4 linked regions of the Medicago truncatula genome follow. The protein of the gene in region 4 binds, or shares a complex with, the protein of the main gene of each other region. Links are inferred from orthologs where the notes say so. Each region holds a gene or a part of one and is shown on either strand. Other genes may lie near its edges.

Evidence for each region.
Region 1: protein TIC 55, chloroplastic (region 4) and protein TIC 20-v, chloroplastic share a complex: the UniProt entries of both Arabidopsis thaliana proteins name them as parts of the tic complex. The link is inferred for Medicago truncatula from reciprocal best matches to the Arabidopsis thaliana genes TIC55-II and Tic20-V.
Region 2: protein TIC 55, chloroplastic (region 4) and short-chain dehydrogenase TIC 32, chloroplastic share a complex: the UniProt entries of both Arabidopsis thaliana proteins name them as parts of the tic complex. The link is inferred for Medicago truncatula from reciprocal best matches to the Arabidopsis thaliana genes TIC55-II and Tic32-IVa.
Region 3: protein TIC 55, chloroplastic (region 4) and protein TIC 20-II, chloroplastic share a complex: the UniProt entries of both Arabidopsis thaliana proteins name them as parts of the tic complex. The link is inferred for Medicago truncatula from reciprocal best matches to the Arabidopsis thaliana genes TIC55-II and Tic20-II.

Annotation. Positions count from the first base shown.
Region 1 is NC_053046.1:43,070,523-43,076,302, forward strand, and holds protein TIC 20-v, chloroplastic, read left to right. Parts: upstream 1-4,251; 5' UTR 4,252-4,406; coding exon 4,407-5,054; 3' UTR 5,055-5,280; downstream 5,281-5,780. UniProt on the Arabidopsis thaliana protein: May be involved in protein precursor import into chloroplasts. Not redundant with TIC20-I, TIC20-II or TIC20-IV.
Region 2 is NC_053042.1:48,849,791-48,856,689, forward strand, and holds the start of short-chain dehydrogenase TIC 32, chloroplastic, read right to left. Parts: upstream 3,003-6,899; 5' UTR 2,916-3,002; coding exon 2,810-2,915; intron 1,781-2,809; coding exon 1,549-1,780; intron 1,347-1,548; coding exon 1,267-1,346; intron 842-1,266; coding exon 688-841; intron 577-687; coding exon 498-576; intron 1-497. Other genes in the region: short-chain dehydrogenase TIC 32, chloroplastic, read right to left, coding at 4,360-4,524, 4,680-4,726, 5,678-5,762, 6,359-6,437. UniProt on the Arabidopsis thaliana protein: Involved in protein precursor import into chloroplasts. Part of the redox regulon consisting of TIC32, TIC 55 and TIC62.
Region 3 is NC_053048.1:37,298,481-37,304,056, reverse strand, and holds protein TIC 20-II, chloroplastic, read right to left. Parts: upstream 1,350-5,576; 5' UTR 1,298-1,349; coding exon 668-1,297; 3' UTR 525-667; downstream 1-524. Other genes in the region: biotin carboxyl carrier protein of acetyl-CoA carboxylase, chloroplastic, read left to right, coding at 4,037-4,192, 4,293-4,349, 4,981-5,132. UniProt on the Arabidopsis thaliana protein: May be involved in protein precursor import into chloroplasts. Not redundant with TIC20-I, TIC20-IV or TIC20-V.
Region 4 is NC_053044.1:52,261,620-52,268,638, reverse strand, and holds protein TIC 55, chloroplastic, read right to left. Parts: upstream 3,036-7,019; 5' UTR 2,862-3,035; coding exon 2,425-2,861; intron 1,670-2,424; coding exon 1,567-1,669; intron 1,459-1,566; coding exon 340-1,458; 3' UTR 188-339; downstream 1-187. UniProt on the Arabidopsis thaliana protein: Involved in protein precursor import into chloroplasts. Part of the redox regulon consisting of TIC32, TIC 55 and TIC62.

The sequences.
Region 1 (5,780 bases), on a different chromosome or scaffold from region 4:
ATGCTTTAACCATTCAAAAGCGGTGAGGGCTTCGGTCCTGTTTGGTACCACATGCATAATTGTATATTTTGAGGAGTCTTAGTGGTGTTGTCATGTCTTGCATGAGTCTTAGCGGTGGTGTCGAGTTGTTGCATGAGTCGTTGTTGTTGGTTTTAATTATCATTTGGTTGATGTTGTTAATGATGATATACTTATATATTGATGAATTATTTTTATGACAGGGTGATAGATTTAATTGATGAGTTAGATATCTATTATTGATGATATTGTTGATTATGAAATATATACATATATTGGATAATTGTAGTTATCGTCGTTGTTGGTTGAATTAGTAAGTGTTACTAAAGTTAAAGAAGTAAGAACATTATTGTTAAATATATGTAATTGTTTATATTGTTATGATGTGATGATTATGTTGTGTCGTTTATATTATTATGAGAAGATGTTTATGATAATGATTACGAAGTTATGATGACTGTTTATGGTGTTGAATATGAGGTTGTTATGATGTTACATGATGATGATTATGAATGTTGTGATGATGATTATGTGATGTTATCTATGAGTTGTTAAATGTACTTGATGATAGTTATGTTAAGTTGATAAGTTGTCTTTTATTTATGAATTGCTAATGGAATGTTTGATGAATAATTATTATTATGGAATGATGATGTTACGTATAGTTGCTAAGTTGTCCTCTATTCATGAGTTGTTAATAAGGTGCTTTGGTGGAGAATGTTAATACGAATTAATGATGTTGTTATGTTGTATATGAACTATGAATATGATGTTGTTACGTTGTTTATGTCATTGATTATGAAGTTGTCATGTTGTATACGAATTATAAGTATGACGTTATATGATTATGATTAAGATGTTGATTATGAAGTTAAATGATGTTGTTTATGATATCGAGTTATGAATGTTGATATGATGAGTACATGATATGGTTTAGGAGTCGTTAAAAGAATTATTATTACTAATTGATGGAGTTTAAGTTGTTAGATGCATTTTGATGAATTATATATTATTATTATTGATTGTGAATCTCACCCCTTCTGCTTGAAAATGTTGCCCTTCGTATGGGTAACTTGCAGGTAATAAAGATTAGTAGGAGTGGTGGCTCAACTGTCTAGGACTCTGATACGTACGGGATGGGATTTAGTTATATTTATTTTCATTCCTTATGTATCAATTTTGAAATTATGATGTGGAGCCTTTTATGGTCTTTTGAACAATGTTGTTGACTTATGCTGAGGCCTTTAGTGCCATAAACTGTTGTTGGATGTTCACGATGTTATTGATTTGAAAACTATTCCGCTGCTATGTTTTCATATTTTATCAAGTTGTTTTAATTAAATAGTATTATTTTCTATTTAAGAAATTTTGAAATGACGTGTAACATGCCCGTTGTGGAACTACTCTGATGAATATTTGTTATATAATTGTTTTTGGGTAACGGGGTGTTACAAAAAGTGCTGAAAGAGATAGTTTTCTTTATATATAGTATAAATACTATATATAACTAGCGAAAAAACGGGCACGTGACATGTGTAAATTATGAACGGTATTTTATATGAAATTTTGATTTTGATTAAAATTATAAGTACAAATATTTGTGAAATTAAAATTGTAATAAACCAAAAAAAAATCATGTTTATCTTTTACCACAACAACACAGTAGTTTAACAAATATAATATAAATTCTTATCTTTTTTTAATACCACCAAGAATGTAACATTAATATAGGAAAATTTGTTTAAGGGTATAATTGAAATTATAAAAAATTCAGCCCAAAGTCTCTATTCCCTTCATATATAGTATATATAGTATTTTGTCAAAAAAAAAAAAAGTATATATAGTATTGTTCATGTTGTAGTGGTATATTTCCTATTTTAATGAGATTTCATTTTTCTAATTCAAATTTAATATAATATTATTAAAGGATAAAATAGTAAATAAAATAGGCTTAATTGCACTTTTGGACCCCTAACTAATTTAAATACAAAACAGCCCCCTATGTTTTGATTTTTTTGCCAATTTTGGACCCCAATCCATTGTTGACTCGGTCAACGATGACGTGGCACCCAAAGTGAGGTGCCACTTGTCAATTTTTTTTTTTTGCCTTGGGGGTCCAAAATTGTTAAAGAATCAAAACATAGGGGACTGTTTTGTATTTAAATTAGTTAGGGGTCCATAACCGCAACTTTTGGAAAGATAGGGGTCCAAAAGTGCAATTAAGCAAATAAAATATTTTAAATGAATAGTAAAATCAATAGTATATACATATAAAGTAATGTTTTTATGCCACATGTTGCCTTTGTAATGCCCTGAATTCTGGTAGAACCGTGCACTTGCGGTTTTATCTCATCAGTCATCGAATCTATATAAAAATATGAATTTATATAAAAGAATGATATTTAAAATATAAAAAAATTAATTGAATGAATTCATTTTTTTTTTTAAGAAATATTTACTATTTCATAAATATACACATATAAAATGATTTTTTTTTTTTTATACTAAAGCTAGGTTATAACTTATAAGACCTTGCAAAAAAAAAAATTATTACCTTTAAACAATTTATCTAATTCAAATGAAAGATAGTACCTAAAATAAATCATAATTCGGTGGATCACAAATGAAACATTGTTGTAGGTCATCGAATCTATATAAAAGTATGAATTTATAAAAAAGAATGATATTTAAAATATAAAAAATCAATTGAAAGAATTCATTTTTCTTAAGAAAAATTTACTACTTCATAATTATACACACATAAAATGATTTTTTTTTTTCACTAAAGCTAGGTTATAAAGGCACTGCAAATAAAAATAAAATAATTTGCTCACTAATAACATAATTTTGAATTCCAAATTATTTCATAAAAAACGTAGAGTTTTTCTATTCACACCCTATATATTTCTGGTTACACCCAGTTTTTTTAAAAAGTTTTTGATAATACCAAAATTGTCCTTTTATATAAATTTTCTTAAAATCTTGATTTCATTCATTGTCACTCTAAAATTCCACTCTCTTTCACCCACCAACGATCAAACAATCCTGATGTTCAATTAATCGTTATGGAAGATTAAAGAGTGAATCAAAACATCTTTCATTCATACTCGATTGCATATAAATAAGTGAATTTTTTCTTCTTTTTCAATAACGCTGGTTTCAATTTTCTTCTTCTTGTTCAACTGCACTATACGACAGTTTCAGTTTTACATTGTTGAGGTTAACTTAAATTCAGTTTAAGTAGGTTCATGTAAACTTAGTTTACATAATCTACTTCAACTTAGTTTACATAACCTACTTAAACTGAGTTTAAGTATGTACACTTAAACTCAGTTTACATGACCTACTTAAACTAAGTTTAAATGTACATACCTAAACTGATATTACGTATAATCATTGAACAAGGTTGAACTTTTAGATGTACACTTAAACTGAGTTTACATGACCTACTTAAACTGAGTTTAAGTATGTATACTTAAACTCAGTTTACATGAGCTACTTAAACTAAGTTTACATGATCTATTTAAACTGAGTTTAAGTATGTACACTTAAACTTAGTTTACATGACCTACTTAAAATAAGTTTACATGTACATACTTAAACTGAGATTACGTAGAATCGTTAAACAATGTTGAACTTTTAAATGTACACTTAAATTCGGTTTACATGACTTACTTAAACTGAGTTTAAGTATGTACACTTAAACTCAATTTACATGACCTACTGAAACTAAGTTTACATGACCTACTTAAACTGAATAGGGATCTAGGGTGTAACCAAGAAAAAAGGAATATGCTTTTTGAAAATTAAATTTTATGGAAAGGTAATTTTGTCATTTTGGGGTGCAACCAAAATTAAACAGGGTGTAATTAGAAAAACTCAAAAATGTATTGATCAAGTGGTTCCAGAGTACATTTTAAATAGGTGGGAGCACCCAGGTTCGATTCTCAGGGGTGATAATTTTAATTTTTAATGATTTTTGCCAAGCTGAAAAAGAGGTTTCGAGAGTGATTGGATTAGAAGTGAAATTTAATTATTGTGATGGTTTAAATCGTAAAAAATCATTAATTTAAGATGAAGTGAATATGCAAATAATAAAATACTTGCTAAATTTTTGCAAAATAAAATAATAAATGTTATTATTCTAATGGAGTATACATGAAAACTTTTGATTGGTTTGGATAAATTGCTCATGAGTTTTCAAAGGCAACCTAGACATCTAATTGAAGTATAGACCATACTAAGAATACTAGTTTGAAAGAGAAACACGTTCTACCATACCTATCCTTGTCCTTCTTCTCTTTGCCCTTTTCCCACTTTCCAGTTCCTATCTTTACCTTACCCTCCCAAACTACCATTCATTCATTTTCAAGTTTGAAGCTTTAACCATGGCAAGCTCCACCTTCTTCTCCTCTGTAGCTATATCATCTCTCAGTCACTCACGAAAACCACTTCAATCAACCTTTCTCCTTTCTTCACCAAACCCTTCTTCTCTTTTCACACTTCCAAAGAAATTCACAAAATCCAACAAACTCAGAACCCTAATTGTATCCAAATCCAATAACAGTGATTCAGCTGATGCCAGTGACCGTTTAATTTCAGCTCTTTGTTACTTCTATCCCTTTTTTGATGGCATTCAATATGGAAAATTTGTAATCACTCAATTTTACCCAATTCAAGCCATTGTTCAACCATTGATTCCTGCAATTAGGGTTTTTAAAAGCTTTCCCTTTAATGGGTTTCTTGTGTTTTTGACACTTTACTTTTTTGTTGTCAGAAATCCTAATTTCAGTAAATATGTCAGGTTCAATACAATGCAAGCTATTGTTCTTGATGTGCTGTTGATTTTTCCTGATCTTTTGGAAAGAGGGTTTAATCCAAGAGGTGGGTTTGGATTGGATTTGTTGATGAGTTTGGATAGCACTGTGTTTTTGTTCTTGTTGGTGTGTTTGATTTATGGCTCTTCTTCTTGTATTTTGGGTCAGCTACCTAGATTGCCTATTGTTGCTGATGCTGCTGATAGGCAAGTTATGTGAATGTAGTTCATTTGTATTGTATAGAAACTTATTGTTTAAATTCAGCTTATTTCATAGTGGAAAAAATATTGATTTTTTCACTTAATTAATAGCAAGCCTAGAATCTTGTAAGGAAACAATTTTATTTGTTTCTCATTTTGCTGTATTGTTATATGATTTTCAAATTCATTGGTGAATTTGAGACACTGCTGAACTTCAATACTAGTATATTGTTTATTGAATAGAACTTATGTCTTTAGTTCTTATTACATTGTTGATTTTTAGTTTAAGCTATAGTGTTATCCTTTGAGAACACTAAGGATATTGAGGCCTGTCACTGTTCAATGTGATGATTGCATATGTTGCTTTGCAATGATTGCAGTGTTATTATGTAGATTTTTCTGTAATTTTCAAACCTACGCCGATCCTAATGTGATGCAGTTGCTGACAGTATTGCAGCTGCATTAGTTGATGCATTAGTCGATTTGGTGTAGCCACAATTTAAACCCATAGGTTATTTGTTAGGGAGAAAAGGAGACATAGATCAATGAAACAGATTTCATTTGTTTCGTATTTTGCTGTGTCTTTATATGAATTTCACATTCAGGAGTTTCTTTGTTTGGCTATAGTTTTTGGTGAATTTGTGACACTGAAAAACTTCCTTTACTATATAGATTGTTGTTAATTGAATAGAACTAATGCCTCTAGTTCGTATTAGATTGTCGGTTTTTTAGTTTGATCTATACT
Region 2 (6,899 bases), on a different chromosome or scaffold from region 4:
AATTAAGCAACTAATTGTACATAACAAGCAAAGTTAAGGCTCTATCTCGATAAACAACTTAACTAAGCGCACTTATCGAATAAAAGTTCCTCATATAAGTGCGTATGTATGAAATATATCTATGATAAAAGATAAAATAAAGTCAAACTATTTCCATATAAGCTAGAAGTTGTTTTCATAAGCTATCATGTAGAGTTCATGGAAATAAGCTGAAAACAACTTAGGGACATATCATAAGTTGTTTTTATGGACTCTACCAAACAGGCCGTAAAGCCAAAGAGGTCATGCACTCATGCTATAGTCTGATTATGTTTAGTCAGAAATATCAGTTTCTTTGTCAACTGATAAAAGCTCAAGGGACAAAGAAAAGAACACATACCTAACTAAGGACATCCTTTTTATTAATCAACCAAAACATTAAGACAAGTGAGGTACAATAATGCTAACTTATATTGAATTATGGTAAAACATATAACATGTAGTAGAAGTAAGCATACCTTGAGATGCTTTGTAAGTTGGTTGGCATGTAATATGTTAGCAAGTTTTGACTGTCCATATGCACCCCATCTGCTGTAACTGTATAAAGAGGTCACATTTCCAAGTTTAATTCACCATGCAACTAATGTTAGCCAATTGCTAATAAAATGTAATCAAGGAAGAAAACAAAATCAATCACATGACATTTACCTTGATTCGTCATTGATTTTATCAAAACGGATTCCTTCAGAATATGCGAACCTATGAGCCTCTGAGGCGACATTAACAATTCTTCCTTCTTTCTTACTTTTGCGTGTTGTTTTCTTCATAGTATCCAACAAAAGATTTGTCAAGAGAAAATGACCTGCGTAATTACAATAATTCATAAATAAAATCAGAAATATTGCTTCTTCTCATCCTATGTATTAAAAGATACAGTAAAATTCTCAACAAAAAAAAACAGTAAAATAGTTACTTGATGTGTTACATAAGTTGATTGAGATGGATCAGAAGTGTAAATTACACATATTTCAGTGATGTACAAACTATCACTTTTATCCCTGATATTGTTAAATTCTTTGAATTAGAAATCAATAAAACACATGTCCTGTGCTCCCTATAAACTATTGCAAGTGGCAAAGTTCTCCTCCCTTTCCACTCTAGTGCTGGAAAGTTTGTGAATAATTCATATTACAAGAAGAGTAAAAGGTTATTAAAATTGATTAATGTCACTGTGTCGGTCATCAAATGAATTTTCCGGAGAATAAAACAGTAACATGCACCACATACCTATGTGATTGGTGGCAAACTGCAGTTCAATGTTGTCTTTGGACAACTTGAAAGGGCATGCCATAACTCCTGCATTATTTCTTACAGTTGCAAACAAACAAACAAGAAAAATTAGTACTAATGTGTTGACTTGAATGATTGTAATTAAGAAAGCACAATTGGAAGTTGGAACATAGAAATAACAAACATATATAATGAGACAGAACAAGTAACTAACAACTTCAATAAAACAGTAAAAATAAATCTGATAATTATATGACTAAATTAATCTCATTTTCTTACATCAAGATGTTCAGTGGACGACCAGAAGAATTATACTCAGATGCAAATTTCTTGACAGAGTCCAATGAGCTGAGATCTAACTCCATGGCATCAAGTTTGGCTGAGGGAATGTCCTTGAGTATTGTATCTTTGACATCTTTAGCAGCAACCAAGTTTCTCACACCCATAATCACATGCACACCGCGCAAAGCAAGGACACGAGCAGTCTCAGCGCCAATGCCGCTGGATGCTCCTGTTACCACAATGACCATATACTATACCGCATTAAAATAGTCACACATCTCGATATTTATTTATCAATGATTTCAATGTAGCATGCATATACAGGGTTTCAAATTGTGGTCGTGGTTGCATTACAATTTACAATCACAATTTTTTATATTTCAAAAATTTGCTGTCAAAATGTGCCCACAGTTAGATTCACAAACCATTTTAAAAAATCTTATGGATATGTAATCCAGAAGAAGATAAAGAGAAAAAAACTAAGAGATAAATCATGATTAATCTAAGAAAACTGTTTGCAAATTTCAATATTTTGAGATTGGCTGTAGATCATTATTATTTACTACCACCACTAGTAGTTTTAAAGGGATATTGCACCATCCAAGCAATTGGACTCAAGTGGTTAATACGCTTTACCAAAAACGAATTGTTAGTGTTCAGGATAACTTGAGTTTGATTCCTGGTGAAACAATTCTTGGCGAAACTTTTCTTACAAACTCCGGACCTTTCTCCTGAGTTAACACAAAAAAGTGGTATTGCGGAGGCTAAATTGGATAGAGTTAAATATGGGGGGTCTTAGATCTTTATCGAAAAAGCTTGTAAATAATTCATCCCAAAACCTATGCTTATGTGATGCAAAGCTACAAAGTAATACAATACTGCATAATTTTTTTATGCAATTTCTGGAAATCAAAATTGTATTCAACCAAAAGATATAATAAAATTAAACTATTTTCACAAGTTGTCCTAAAGAACTTATTAACATAAGCTGAAAACGTTTATGAATATAATATAGGATATTTATATATATAAACTCCCTCATCAATCTCACAAATGTTTATGTTAATATATAAACTCAAGTATGCAAATTGAAATAGACACTAAAAAGATTTTCGTGTAGATATAATAGTAGTCTTCATCATAATCTTTTTAGCGTCTGTTTGAATTTACATATATTAACATAAACATTCACGTACGTATAAAATTGTTTGCATGAAGAGATACCATTTTGGGAAATGATTAAGAAAGAAAGATCAACCAGTAACAATGGCAGTGAGACCAGTAGCATCGATTCCATGTGTGACTTGTTCAGCAGTTGAGTTCCATGAAAAACCAGAAACACCTTTCTTGCTGAATGGCCACATATTGCGTATCAATCTCTTTCTCTGCCGTGTGTCACAAAAGCAGTGACCGAGATATATTGCAATTGCAGTGCTTGTTGTAACTGACGTGACGCTACTATATATCTGGATGATATGGAAACACATCAAACTTTTTTTATCTCTTTTTATTATATCATATATGTATATATTGAAATAGTAGAAAAAGTAAACATTTTATCTTTGTCCATAAAAGTAATTATTTTATCTGTCGATATTCAATTTCTTCATTCAAAAAATAATCTAATTCCATTTCTGTATTTATTCAAACTTTTTTCTTTAATTTCAAATTATGGGAAGATTTTTTCTTTTTCCGTCTAAAATCATTAAATTTATTTCATTTAATTATTATTTTACAACTTATTTCATTACATTATATTCTATCTATTGAGATAAAAGGATTGAAGTATACTAAATGAGGAAAATGTTTTCTTCAATCAAATGATTTAATTTGTATACACCAACAACATTTATTTTTGAAAAAATGTCAACATGTTTTCTTCAATTCCTAATTTTTTTATAAACTAAAAATTTATTCAAGAAATAAAAAAACATAAACATAAAATTAGGGGGACATAAGTCTAACTCAATAAAAGATAAAAAAATAAAATAAAAAAGAGTTCCTCAAACGATATAAGAGTTCTTTTCTACCCTTAGTAATTTAGTGCACTGGATTGGATGTGGCCAAGTTGGTGAGGTGGAATTTAATGTGTGGTACTAAGTTGTTTAGTTGAGTTGTGTTGTTTCTACAATTACACTCACTCAGTCAGGGAGTTGGATTGATTGAAGGAATGGTTGTCCTCTTGTCTTCACTCCTCAGAGTGGGGTTCTTGCTGCATAAAGTGCTTGCCTTATTGCCTTTTTTTTTTTTTTTTTTTGGTAGAAGCCTTATTAATGACTTTATATTTGTACTCTACCTTGTGTTTAATATAAGCCATTTTGCCTTTTGCAAAAAATAAAAATGTAAAATATGAATTAAAAAGGTAAACTATGAATTTGAAAATCTGTAGTATAAAAATATTTCATTATTTCAAAAAAAATATTTCATGTTAATTACTCTATCCGTTTCAAAATACATACATTAACATCACAATGTCGCACAAGTGTATTTCCGGAGTCTACCACTTCACTCTAAATGAACAGCAAAACCTAATAATAATAATAATAATAATAAACCAAAGAACAAAAAGGGCAATATTCGGTTTGATTTAGGAGGACCATGTTTGGACCCTTTTACAAGAGGTCCATATTAAGGGACCCTATTTCATATTGAATTACAATCTTGTTTCAAACGTGACAATCAATTATGTTATAGATGCATTTCACATTGACATGAACAATGAATGTTATTTCCATTTTCTTTTTATCAATTAGTTTCGTGCACACACATTACAATGTCATTTTCATTCTTATACAACACTTGGTTATTCTATTTGTCCTTGATCAAATTCATGCTGAAATCCCAAAGTTTCTTAGCCAAATCAGCATCCTTCCCATGTGAACTTGATTTGGCCACATTATTGTCTGAAAAATATTCACCACTAACTCCCTTCACTTGTGGGTGCAATGCTACATAGCAGGTTGTGGCTGCCCCCTACATTTAGATAGAGGAGAAAGTTAACATGCAACTAGCAGAAAGCTTATAAAGTTATAATCTATGTTTAGTTAATAAATGTTTATAACAACCAATATTTATTTGACATGACCCCTCACATTTATAAATAGTAGGTCATAATGATTTTGACATACCTGTGGAACGTTTTTCATCACAAGTTTGCCAACCACATTTACTATACCTGTTGCATAAATCAAACATCAATAGTATATCTATAGAACTCAGCTACTGTCAATATCTCTACACATGAAAAAGCAAACAAACTTTATGGACACTGCAGAATGCCAGTGTGTAAACAAACAAACCAGAAAAACCACCCAATTCAAAATCATCAAATGTATTTATAGTAGTAGTCAGATAAACACAATGAAGTGCTTGATGACAATAAAGTAATAATGTAAATGGTTAGGGAAGAATAGTGGAGAGACTGACAAAGCATCCAACTTCTAGGATGATTTTATTGTTGTTGTACATTATGGATGACTTGGTGTACCAATCAAGTGCTGTAAATTACTCACTCTGTCCTTCAATATTAGTCAATTTAGCAAATAATGCACGAATTAAGAAACGTAATTAATTTTGTTGATTTTATAAAACGTATGGCTTACTTTAGAAAATTAGCCTTCTTTAATAGTATAAGAAAGATAAATTACTAGAATTGAAATAAAAATAGTACAAACAAACAAAATAGTTAGGAGGGAGTACAAAGTCTTTTTGTTTCAGACTCTCGGCGATCATGGTGATCATGTTTCCGATGAATGCTTACAAGGTTGATTGTGGTCTTTAACATGTCTATATTCTTCCTTGTTAAAAAAAAACATGTTTGTATTCTTCAAAATTCAGAGGGGGGCAACGACCAACCTTAATCATAATATTATTAGATGGTGGGTTCTGAACAATAATCATGTACCAAATATAGGATAAAACACCTAGAGCAATGTAGACAGATAAGAACTTATATCATTGTAAAATCCACCGAAAATTTCTTTAGGACAAGTAACATGAAGTTAACAAAGAAAGATAGTGCCACATAACGGTAGATGATACAGAACAAATAATTTAGAATGCCACATCAGAGGACTTGTATAATAATTCATAGACAACCTGAATAGTATAATGCTATAATAGTTACCGTTGATTGCACTGTTATGACGGTAAAGATTGGTGGCAATGCCTCCTGGATGAAGAGAATTTGCAATGATATTCACACCATCATCCTGATCAAAATGCAACAAGTAATGTTATAAATCAAAGATAATTATTGTGGCAAAACCATCAAAAGGGAGGGAGACTGAGAAAGCTATGATTATGGTTGCCAAAAGGGATGCAAAGTTTGCGTCTTTTTCAGAGACTTGAATGAAGGAACACCAACAACTAAAGCCTGTTCCAACTAGGTGGAGTTGGAATGGAGGCGGATAAAACATCCACTAAAGTTGATGTTTAACAATATTTGGTCATTGATATTTTATAATAAAAAAACCAGTCACCAATTGATAGGTGATTAAGATAGCAGATGCTGTAAAAAGGATTATGATTTATAAGTGTAGTTTGAAGACAAATGCTGTAAAAAAAACAAGTAACTCTAAATCAAAATTCTTCCATTCACAGTTCACACTGCAGAAGAAAGTAATTTTCCACAGAAGAAATATGCAGATTTAATGCTACAGCACTTCTAAAAATAATAAAATAGAACTTGTTACATCGAGATTAAGGTTAAAATAATGAGAGATAATAACACTATCAATAAACTACTTCACTGGATAACATGTTAAATAAGTAACACCACTATATAGTAGAAGTAAGCATACCATACCTTGAAATGTTTTGTAAGTTGGTTGGCATGTAAAATATTAGCAAGCTTTGACTGTCCATATGCACCCCATTTGCTGTAACTGTATACAAGGAAGCAAACATAATTAAATTGGAATAACATTACTCCAGTCGACAAATACTACAGAAACAACTTTTCCACTCTTAATTCTTCATGCAACTAAGATAAGCGAATTGTTTCAACTGTAAACAAGGAATTAAACATAACTATCTACACATAAGTACATAACACATCTCCTTTCAACAAGTATTACAAGAACAGCTCCATTGTTAGTTCTAGTTGTGAATCAGTTATAATTTCCAAACAATAATAAATGTCATGTAAGTGGTGGAAATGTAAAAGAGACATTTCAAGAGGTGAAAAGATGTAACGATATTCTTAGAGAAATGAAGTCAAGCTACTTGAAAATGTGGGATAATAATGTCCACTATGTATGCTATATTCATGAACGAGAGTCTCATCCCGTCCTGTAACCAAGGAAACCTGTGAAAAGTTGAAGCATCCCCAACCTTGACCATGTGAA
Region 3 (5,576 bases), on a different chromosome or scaffold from region 4:
ATTTGATCCATTACAGCAGCTCACAGCAAAAAAATTATCCTTGATCTGTAATCTAACAACATTAAGCCAAAGCACCATTACATAAGAACAATCCCTCAGAGCATGTAAAATAGTTCCTGACTCGGCCCCACACAAATTACAACAAGAACTACCCCATCAACCTACCATGAACCGCGAGCCACTGAAAGAATTTGATCCTCTCTTGAACTTGAAGTTTCCAAATTTTAATCCATAAATCATGAGATTTCTTAAACTCAGAACTGCATAACAAGTGATAAGTTGTTGCCACTTCTAGTACTTTTCATTAGGAAGTACATGGGCAACGTCAAATTCCATGTAAACCAAGAAGTGAATTTTGTTCGGGTAATGTTGTCTATTTGTCAAAGAATTTAGTGAGTTATCATGGATTCACTGTTTAGTTACGTTTTTCACAATCGTAAAATAACCCATAAAAGTTTATAAAATCTAACTTCATTTCACATTTCATCTTATACCACAAATAATGTGATACATCAAACACTCCATAAATTGAAAAGGATAATTAATTGTATTCATTCATTAATTCAAGTAACCCAAAATAACTAACAGAACAGCAAAAGAGAGGTAATTGTTTGTTTGATACAATTCAATACAACACATAGTAATCCTATAATCTATCATATGATATTCAGATTTGTCTAGCAGCAGCATCAGCAACAAAAGGCAGGTAAGGAGTCCTACCCAAAAGACAACACAAAGCACTATAAACAAAACACAGAATACTAAAAACAAACACAACATTATGCGACCAAACCAAAATCTTAAAACCTAATCCATATCTCCCAGGAGAGAAAATCCTCTGAAACAGCATCGGAAGAACCAGAAGCACATCTAATGTCAGAGCCTGCATAGCATTGAATCTAACATACTGTGGAAAAATAGGGTTCCTCACAATTCCCAAGTAAAGCGCGAAGAACGCTATGAACGAAGCGTAAGGGAGGGATCTGTAGAATGAGAGGAAAGGGATGATTGGGTCGAAGAGGAGTGCGACTTTAGGGTATTGGGTGAGAATGTTGTGACCATATTGAAGGGAATTGAAGAATGGAAGTGCGTATGCGGCGATTGAGATTAACCGTTCTGGTGCTGCGGGTGTGGATGTGCTTGCTTTAACGACGCCGTTTCTGAGTTTGAGTTTGAGTGATGGTTTAGTTAAGGGTGAGAATGAAAGGGAATTGGGTTTTGGTTTTAGGGTTAGGGTTGAGGATTTGGGGGTGTGGTGAAAAATGCAGGGACGGTGGAGAATAGAAAGGGAAGCCATTTTTGGTTTCAGAATCGGTTCTTGGTAACTTCTGCAAAATGGAATTAAACAACTGTTTTAGATCCTTTATCTGCTGCTGCATGCAGTTACTTTCATTGGGCCGGTAAAAAACTATGAGTAGTGATATTTTGGCAAATATTTTGGTACAACTTTTATTATTCTCTCTTTTCATTGGTAAAAAATATTGGAGAGAGAAATAAAAATATAATGTGAGTATGAGAGAGAAAGTTGTACAAAAGTTGTACCAAAATTGTTGTACAAATATCATTTCTCAAAAACTATAGGGTCTTGCTAACCATTGCCCAAAAGTAACATGTTTGCATTGATTTCAACATTTTGATTTTTAAAAAGTTAAATTTATCATTTTTCACTATTTTCTAATACTATATTTCTATTTTTATCCCCTTATCTAATGTCCCAAGGACAATGATTAGCATTCTCCAAAACTATATTATTTTTCAAGTATATATTATTTAAGGTTAATAGTGTTGTTCACCCCTATAATATATGTCATTTCCGATTTTCGCTCCTACAAAATTTTCAGTTTGATTTGCACCATCGTAAAATTTTTATTTTTCGGAAAACACCCCTAATAGGCCATTTTCATATTTTTTTTTCAAGAAATTTTGGTTTTTGAATGGCCTATTAAGGGTGTTTTCCGGAAAATAAAATTTTTACGAGGTGAAAATCAAACCGAAAATTTTATGGGGGCGAAAACCAGAAATTACATATATTACAGGGGTGAAAAGCACTATTAACCCTATTATTTATTTTCTGGTAATTTTTTTTTCTTTTTTTTGAGATTATAAAATATAATATGATTAATTGAATATCTTTTGAGTACTTTTTTAATGATTTTTGGAAATAAGACGAGATGTAATATCTTCACATATGGTGTATATGTATGTACATCTTTTTTTCGTGTTTTATATTTGTTCTTGTCATCGAATGTAAGAGTCTATTGGAGGTGGTGTGAAACAATTGTTGTGTTGGTTCACGGTGGTTAGAGCAGATTTTTCATGAATGTAAGAGGGTGTACCTGCAAAGATACCCCAACGCTAAAGTCAGTGAAGTTTCAACGAGCATTGAGAAGATTTCTTGAAATGAGAGTGTGTACCTTGTTTTCCATGTGACACACCTGTTTATAGAACTTGTGTGGATGTATTGGATTTACCCTTGAGGCACGATGGTCAGGCAATCATTGGATAAAATGAAGGGCTCCAAAATGCTTCGAGTATATGATTTTGTATGATCTGACTCTTCACGAGTGCATGTAGACCACAACATCCTTTGGATGCCTTATCGGGACTTCGTTGGCTAAGGTTTCGTTGTAAGTTAACGTGAATGGTACTTTATCTTGGAATCAAGCTTCACGAGGTGGTCGCACAGTTAAAGACATGTACAATGCAATAATAAACGAGAATGTTAGCGATGCTTGTCGTCTATATGATTGTGTTGATGTTCTTAAATAAAAGGTTATTCCCAAAGCATATTTTGATTCGCAGAGAAACGAAATGACGTATGAACGAACTTAAACAACAAGGGCTTCCCATCCACCTTCATACGCAACTATCACTCGAGTCTATCAACTAATAGTTGGGGGGGGGGGGGGGGGGTAACTGTTCTGGTATGGGCTGACACCCAACAACTAATAAGTTCTAAAGGGCTCCTCGCAAAAAGGAGTACATGGGGCTGCGGCATAGGAGTGAACGGAATCGAATGAGAACAAATGAACAGCTAAAGAGGCTTGTGGCATAAGAGCACACATACTGAAGATGAACAACCAGCAGGGTGTGTGGAACAAGAGCAATCTAATTAAATCTGGACAACCAACATGGATCAGTGGCACAAATCTGCCATGGACCAAACTCTCACAGTTGCCCAGGTAAAGGTACAAGGACTAAAACCTTAAATTGCCGCCATAAATATTGGCTCATAAGCATGAGGTCAAGTGCGTTCACTTTACACATATGCACCTACCGCCCATGCCACTCACTGATTTGAACGTCGGATTCACTTGGAGAAGAAGGCCGCAGGCGACTAAGATAAATGCAACAACTGAAGGAAATGTCTTACTTAAAAGCCATTCAACATCATCAACTACAAAATCTCAGGTTCGATAGGATCAACTATGTTGTAGGTGGATATTATCAATCACTTACATTGTTGAATATATATAACTATAAAATTTAGATTTCAATAATAATATTGTTTTATATGAGAAATTTAAAGTGAGGGGATGCTTAATTCAATGCAAGAAAGTCTTTAATATTTAAATTACAATTACAAAGAGATTTTCATTTACATTTTCTCAAGAGTGCTAATAGGGCATGAACTCGAAACTTAAACTTAATCAATATAATTAATTATAATAATTTTTTTGATTGATACTTCTTCATATTTAAAATATAAATACAGGCCCATCCCTTTGAATCTACAATGCCCAACTCAGCTGAAAGTGTTGGACCGAACTTTTTTTTTTCTTTGTATTGATCGAGTATAAAGTTTGAACCTTAAATTGTTTTTTATTTTTGTGTGAGTTTTCAAAGTAAATTATTTCTTACGAGAGAGAGTGAAAAATATTATTCACTTGAAAAAAAAAAAAAGTAGATGCATTGGATATCGTAAGTGTGCGCTAGTGTAGTTGAGCTACCCCACTGAACACAACAAAGAGTAAGTACCTTAGATTTCATCGATCCGACATCAATCAAAAAACTTGCTTGTTTCAGTTTCAGTTTCATGGCTTCCTCGTTGTCTTCCACTTCACCTTCTGCTGCTCCTACTGTCACTGTTGCAGCTGCAGCTTCCACCAAATCTGCACGCTTTTCTCATTCCTCCATCTCTTTCCCTCGTCTCTCTCCTAATTCCAACAACTCTCTCCGCTTTTTCACCAAGGTATCTATCTCTTTCCATATCACATTTTATCTTCCTAAATTTATATTTATACTTTCTTTTTAATTCAAATTGTCACTAATTTATGTATGTCTTTGTGCAGGGATGCCCACCTAATCATATGCTATTATGCCCCAGGGTTAAGGCTCAACTAAATGAGGTAAACATTCTCCCTTTTACACTTCATATCTATGAACACACAGACACGAACACCGAACATGATACTGACACGCAGTGCCGGTATTGTTTCCGTGTCAGACACCACCTGAGAGGCCTTTAATGTTTGTGGCTGTTTGAATTGACTTATTTGAGTTAATTTACTGACATAAACACTTGAGAGACTGTTTTGGAGAACTTATGAAAACAACTTATGATATGTTCGTAAGCTGTTTTCAGGTTATTTTCATATGTTCTATAAGATAGCTTATGGAAACAGCTTATAGATTATACGAAAACACTTCAATTTAATTTTATCTTTTGTTATAGAAGTAACTTATACGTAAGTGCTTATGCTATAAGCTGCAAATTAAGTTGTTTCTTTAAATCTGAAGTGTCAGTGCTACTGTAACATAGCTTTATGTGAGTTTAGATTGAATTTTCCTCATAAAAAAACACAAAATTACAATCATTGGTTGGAAAATTAACAGTTGAGTTTGTGATAAAATACATACATTTATGCTGCAAACTATAAGTTTGCCAAAATCTGTTCTCTTGATAGATATGTGCGCACTGCGTCCACATAGACATATGTTTCTATGCTGATTTTGGTCTCTTTTTTTGGCTTCAACAAGGTTGCCCTTGATGGTTCTTCTAATGATGTGCCTCCTAAAGCCAAATCAGATGTTGAACCACCGACCGCACCTTCAGTTGAACCATCTTCTTCAGTCTTGGCAGATCAAGAATCAATCTCTGAACTTTTTGATCAAATTGCAAGTCTTGTCAAGTAAGTACCCGGCTGCTTCAATCTTGAACTTGATAAATGCTACTCCTCTGTTCAAAATTAATACTACCTCCGTCCCTAAATATAGGAGCCTTTTTCCAAAATTGCAGAGATTAAGAAAGTTGGTTGTAGTATTAAATTTGTATATAATTACTATTGTTTTTACAATTTTATCCTTAAGAGAGAGTTAATTTATGTTTTCAATATAATATTTATTGTTGATTGAAGAAAAAGATGCAAAATAAATAAGGGTATGTTGGTAAAGAAATAATTAATGTACTTGAAAATATCAAAGGAGTCTTATAAAAAGGGACAAATTATTTTTTCAAAAGTGTCTTATAATTAGGGACGGAGGTAGTAGTTGTTTTACCAAAAGTAAAAAAAAAAAAAAATCAAATTAAGTGTCGTCATTAATTATACCTTCTTATTTTTCCCTCATTAATTATA
Region 4 (7,019 bases):
TGATTTACATACAATGTAATTCTGTGGACTGATTGTTTTCTTTCTTTTTTCTTTCAAGCATGATCATTATATAATTTCTTCTCGACCTCTTTGTGGATAAAGTATAGTAAACTACTACAGATTTTGTTTTGTTTTTGAAAAGGACATAAAATAATAGACAGTATGCTTTTCTAGCAGACGGTGACTCTTCACCTGAACACATTGTTGAGAAACTTTTTCTTCTTCTATTACTTGTTTGGCTTAAATTACATAGATGGAGACAACACTAGATGTCATAAAAAACCATTATACAAGCTGTAAGGGTAATATTGAAAAGGGAGATTTTTTACAACTTGTTGCTCACAATCTCCTATGTGTCCTAATAAAATTTGTTGTATTCAATGCAACAGCTGTTGAACAAGCATATACTCCAACAGAGCACAGGGCTGCAGATGCCAACAGGATGGCTTTCCATTGTCTCCCAGTAACCAGAATTGCTAATGCAGCTAATGCAACGACCACAGCCGAAAGGGCATTTTTCCAAGTTTGAAAAGCTTTGACGGCGGTTCTACATCCTTTGCAATGTATTACATGCCTAAAATATCTATTTGCTAAATTTGGAGCATGCATTGTTCCAATGCCCCCCTTTGCAGGTGAAGAAGCTGATAGTCCTGCAATGAGTCCAGCAGGCGCATGTTCAATCACAGCCGGCTCTTTGGGCAGGGAAATAGTGTTGTGACCAAAATGATATGGCATCCCGTGTCCCACTTTATCCATCCACTTACGGTATTCAGCAACCCATGTGTCTGATGATTTTAAATTCAGGTATAGTTCCTTTGTCGGAACCTTCTCTTTCAAAAGAATTTCATTTTGTGATGATAAGAATCCCATGTCTTGTTCAAAAACCTTGCTTGCATTCTGATGGAAGTACCATTGAGGAAACAGTTTTACTATTGGAGATCTTTTTGTTCCTCCAAACCTCACTATCAGCATGGATTTCCCTTGTCCAGTTGGCCTACAAAGGAACAGACCACTGAAGTAGTTTATTTCACCATTTTTATCTACAATTTCCCTGTTATTTTGTAGAACACAAGGAGCCTCAAACCGTAAGAAGTTAGGCTTAGTGCCGTCTTTCTCTCGTCCCCACCAACCTGCAAACCCTCTATCAGTTCGTTCTGTCACCTCAAAAAGTAGCGGTTGTGCATCTTCTCTCTTTGCAGTCCAATCTGTTCTATCGTGCGAGATTGGAATATGAGCAGGATCCATCAAGTTTTCCAGTAGAATAGAATGATCATATGGGAGTTCATGAGTTGTTGAAACATCTTGAAACCCTGGCCTTGCAAAGTTCTCAAACCAAGGTATTTTGCTGACATTTGGAGGTACCTTTGGTGACATCCATACCCAAATAACACCTTGAGAATCCCTCACCTCATATGTTTTAACACAGGCTGACCTGGGAATTTTTGCATCAGCTGGAAGCTGTTGAAAACAGAGAAAACAGTTATTATTACTTGTTACTTGTTAGCCTCAAACCATATAAGGACATTCATGATATAGGTGAGTAGAACTCTAAAGTCAGTAGCCTACCTGAGGTATCTTCACACATTTCCCTTCGCCTTCGAATTGCCATCCATGATACAGGCATTCAAGCCTTCCATCAATCAACTGGCCTTCAGATAGTTTTGCTAACCTGAATCATATAAAATATAAGATCCAGTCCAGCATTGTGAAAGGAATAAAAAATCATAATTTCTTATACTTACTTGCCAATCAAATGTAGATGGTTTGATTTAATTTTGAAAAAATTAGCCGGTTAACGTGAGAATATTTATTAATGTTCATTATCACCTATGAAAACAACTAGCACAGGGGAATTCGTAAGTAATTGAAATTGGTACATACTATCATTATTCATTAGGTGAACTTAGTGACTGTCCTAGGAAAGATACAAATATTAAATGAATCAAATTTGTTTTGATAAATTTCAGTGATACTCAAATGTTTAAATATACCCTAGCCTCTTCTCAGCAGTAGCAGTATTGTAAATATGGTATTACAGAGAGATAATTAATAACTAACATAACAATCCACTAACATTATTAATACCAATATCTTATTCCTAAATAGAGTAATATAGATCTCATTATCAGACAAACACATTGGATTAGTTTCTGATCCTTGAGTTTGATTTCACATCATGGTAGAGAAAAATAAACCCGAACATTAGGAGCACCAAGTATATACACAGTATACAGCTACAAAATCTGTATTAACTGAGAAGAGCTGTATCTGCATCAATAATCATGTTATTTTCATTTAATCACATAGCATGCAACTTTGGTTAAATCAATTATGAATTCTTACATATGGGATGTGATCACATAAAGAAGTTGAAAGCAAAATCAATCATAAGAATAATTAGAAGCGAGATAAATTAAAACCAACCTGTGAGGACACCGATCTTCATAGCATTGAAACTGATCATTGCCATCTTTAAACAAAACAAGGTTCTTGTCAAATACTGTGAGACCCAACGGTGCATCATCTGGTACATTCTTAGTGAGGTACAAAGGGTACCATTCCTCTTTCCAATCATAAGCTGCAAGTTCTCTCTCACCCCTGCGTTCTTGCTCACTGGAAGGTCCCACTAGAACTTTCTGATCTTCTTCCACATCAAGTAAAGTTGATGCAGTTTTGACATCTGCCGTGGCGGGGAGATACCCTGCATGCTTTCTTCTGCTTGATGACAAGCCTTTGTTGAGATTGAAACTGAAACTGGAAGATGGGCTAGTCCAAAGGAGTATTTGTTTGGATGGTGGAGGTGAAACTGGCAAAGCAAAATGAGTTTTGGTAGGGAGAAGAAATGGATTTACCAACGCCATAGAGTGAAATCAAGAAGCAGTACTAGAAACTGATCGAGGTAAAGAAAGAAGAATTAGAAGAGATACTTTCAGGTGAGTGTTGTGTGTGGTTGCAAGACTCGTGTGACATTCATAACCACACAAAATATTGCTGATTCTTTTACCTTAAAATGAAAATTTGGACACATAATCCATTACACGCAACATGGATGAATTCTCGTTAACTATTGTCGTTTCATAGTGTCTATATGAGACTAAACACAACCATAACAAAACCAACGTGGTCCACTTTTGTCAAAAAAACAAAACACTAATGTGGTCCACTGTTACTAATAAAAGGTTTAACGTAAAGAATTGAAATGCTAGGAAGAATCGATTTAAAAAGTGTGGAACTCGTCTGAGTTTTAAATAAGAGAGTGGATTTAAAAAGGAGTGCTCATAACGCTACTCTTGATGTAAAATGTAGGAAGCAAATTGAACTCTCAGTAGAATTTTTTAAGCTCATTTTCAAACGTGGCTAAATAGATGCATTCCATTGGAAGTAACATGTGATGTGTGGTTAGGATCTTCAAAATAAATTTGTCCTACACTGTGACTATACTCCTACTGAATAATTGTTTGTTATTTAAACCCATATGTTATGTGTTTTTCTTTTTCATACAAAATAAAGGATGTAGTATGTTCCTTCACGTCATGTGACTCTAAATTGATTCCACAACAGGAGTGCACATATTCTCATGTGATTTTTGGTGTTATCTACAATGTGGTGTGTCAAGTACCTTGTCAATTTTTAGGAAGAATCTAAATTTGATTTTGAGAGAATTTTTTTAGTTAGATGATACTTATCTTTTGACTGAAGTCCAAATTACTATGAACTTTTTTTTTATAAATCGAAGGATTAACACGCAAAAAAATCTTGGCAGCAGAGGTATAATCTTCACAAAACTCGGAATCACAATTCAAACATTAATTGTGTTTGAAATATTCATTAGAATAAACATTTATATTTAATATCTAACGACCGCTTGAACATAGTCATCTATAGTAAAAAAAAATGTGAGTTAGTTAAAAAAAAAATTGAATGACGTTAATGTATTTTGATATTCTTGTATGATTGTATTTAAATAAAGGGTCTTGTTAACTAGTGCATCCAAGACATTCTTTAAGGATCCTAAATTTAGAAAATATTCATTAAAAAAGTCTAATGTTACAAATTTCAATGCATTGATTACACAATTTTTCATAAAAACTTACTATTAAAAGTTTTTAAAGAGTACCTCGGAGACACTCGTTAACATTTCTCTTAAATTAATTAGTGCTAGCACAAAAAATACCTCATTTATAAAAAAATAACAATTGTGATTTTTCTTTTAAAAGTTCTTGTTAGTGAACTTTAGGTCAAACCTAGTAGGAAAGTGTCAGGTACTAGGCCACCAATGTTTTGTATATTTCATGGGTAAATGGTGAGTTAGGTTTTGGTATGAGACTACTAGGGGAGGATCAGAGTTTCTCCCCCATTATCTCATCAACTTGGCCCTAATATTTTGAGTGGTTATTTGCTCCTCAAAGTTAATTTAGGGTCGGTGTAGACTTAACCCCAAACAACGCCATCTCTTGGATTAAATCATGAACCTCCTCTCTCTCTTAATCGACCCTCATATTGATGGATGTGTTAGACGAACCATCCATCCAACAAAAAAAGTCGAATAAGTGATGAGATGAGAGAGAGACCAAAATAAAATCAAATAACATTCTCGCTTTAATGTTAGAGAATCCTTGTTGAGGATGCCATTTATGTTTTTTCATTACATTTTGCATAACTGCATTCAAATGATTTTGTTATAAATAAGGAGGAAAAGATTCAACAACACTGCAACAGACAATCTACTTATGATGTTTACTCTATGGTGTTTTGACGTTATTTCTACTTTGTTGTTATTCATAATAATTTTCTTTTATGTATTCCTCCATATTAATATGTGTGTATTTTTTTTTTATTTTTTTTTAAGTTTTGCTATAAAATTTGTTTTAAGTCTCTAAATACTCTAAATACAGTGGACTAACTTTAGGTAACAGTAAACTATTTTACACCAAGAGTGCAACTCCCGTTAAACTCTAATTATTTTTATGGAGTAAACCTATAAATCAAAGAAAAAGTTTTTTGCAATACTTTCTTTATTTTTTAGGGTATTGCTAACAAGTGTTCTATTCTATGCACTAATTATAGAGCAAACCAATTTGAGAACCACAGTCGCAACAAGTGTAGGTAATAAAAGTGGTTCAATTAATAACCGCGGTCGCAACAAATGTAGAATCCATTTCAAAAATAACATGTGCAAGATGGAGATTGTGAGCTATGCACATCCCATGAATTAAACCCCACATCTCAACACAATGAGAATTGTTATGTTGAAGCTTGCAACGAAACCTTTAAGTACCAAACCATCGTGGGAATCTCTAAAACTAATCAATCCACCATACGTCAAATTGTCATTCCTCTTATTATGAGATCCATACTAAATTTAAAGTTAAATATATGTTTGGTCCTTATAAAATGATAATTTTTTAAGTTGAATCCTTATTTAATTTTAAGGGTCTTGTAAATCGGCGTCCAAAGGACATTGGTTAAGAACCTCACAAACTCTTTAATATTTTTCTAATTTTAATAGTTTTTTTTAGTCTTATAAAAACTTTTGTACATAGATTTAGTCCCTAATAAAACAAAATTTGTTTAACAAACCTTAAACTCTAAATTTTTTGAACAATTTTTTTATAAACATGTTTAGAACATCATATTTAATTTATCTCATCTCATATTTAAAAAAATTAAAATTAAAATAAGCAAGATTTTTATGTTGTTCTAAACCTGTTTGCAAATTCCAAAAATTTAGATTTAAATGATAAACAAATTTTATTGAGCAAATAGTCATTTTGGTCACTGACTCTGCACTTCCGTTATCACTTTAGTCCATGACGTAAAAAAATCTGTTAAGTGATGATGTGGCGCATATGAGGTGTCAGAAGGACTAAAGTGAAAGTAGAAAATGGTCACTTTGATCCATGAACCAAAAATCAATATTCCTAAATTGAATATCAAATTCCTAAATACTTAAATCTCAAATCCCTAAATGTCATCTAATTCTCTATTTTGTTCAAATTAATCTTCCATTAAACACAATTTATTGTTAGGTCCCTAACTGTGCATACTTACTATCAGTTAGGTCCCTGACAATGAATTAGCAAATCCATTAGCATCTATTACTCTTGATTATTGTTATATTCACATGATAATTCATATATCTACCCGTAGGTCTGAGCATACAATAATCAAGAGCTCAAGATATATTTAAATGATAATTCATTTCTATTGAATTTCTTTTAACATAATTTCTAACTCAAAATTTGTTCTACTTACTAGGTACTTTTCATGTTTCCAAGTTTATTATCAAATTTCTCACTTTAATTTTTCTTTCATGAGAAGTTAAAGCAACTAAAACATAAGTTCTTTAATGTAACTTAATAGCATGAATATGATATTTAATACTATTGAATCAACACCTTCTTGTACAAATCTGAATGTCATTAACTTTAAGCCTGTGTATTTTAGCAAGTGAATTTATGCATTAGTTATTCACATCTCTCCACCAAAAATTTGATATTGTTGTTGAAAGACACATAAAAAATCAAGCTATAACTTTAAAATACTTACAGAGATTATAATTAAACACACTTTTCATAATTCATTTATCTATATATGTAATCCTGATGCCATTAATATACTAAAGGGAGAAAGAGGTAACAGAACCACAACACTATGACACTACTATATAAAACTCCAAACCTTAGCCCAACATATCATTGCCTCAAGATCAGCTTTCAAGCCAAAAAGATCCTTAATAGTCAGGGACCTAACTGATAGTAAGTATGCACAGTCAGGAACATAACAGTAGGTTGGTGTTTGGAAGATTGATTTTGAGCAAAAAAAGATAATTAGATAATATTTAAGGATTTAAGATTTAGGGATTTGATATTCAATTTGGGAATATTGATTTTTGGTTCAGGGACCAAAGTGACCATTTTCTACTTTCACTTTGGTCTCTGTGACACCTCATATGCGCCACATCATCATAATCACTTAACATATTTTTTTAACATCCGGGACTAAAGTGACAACGGAAG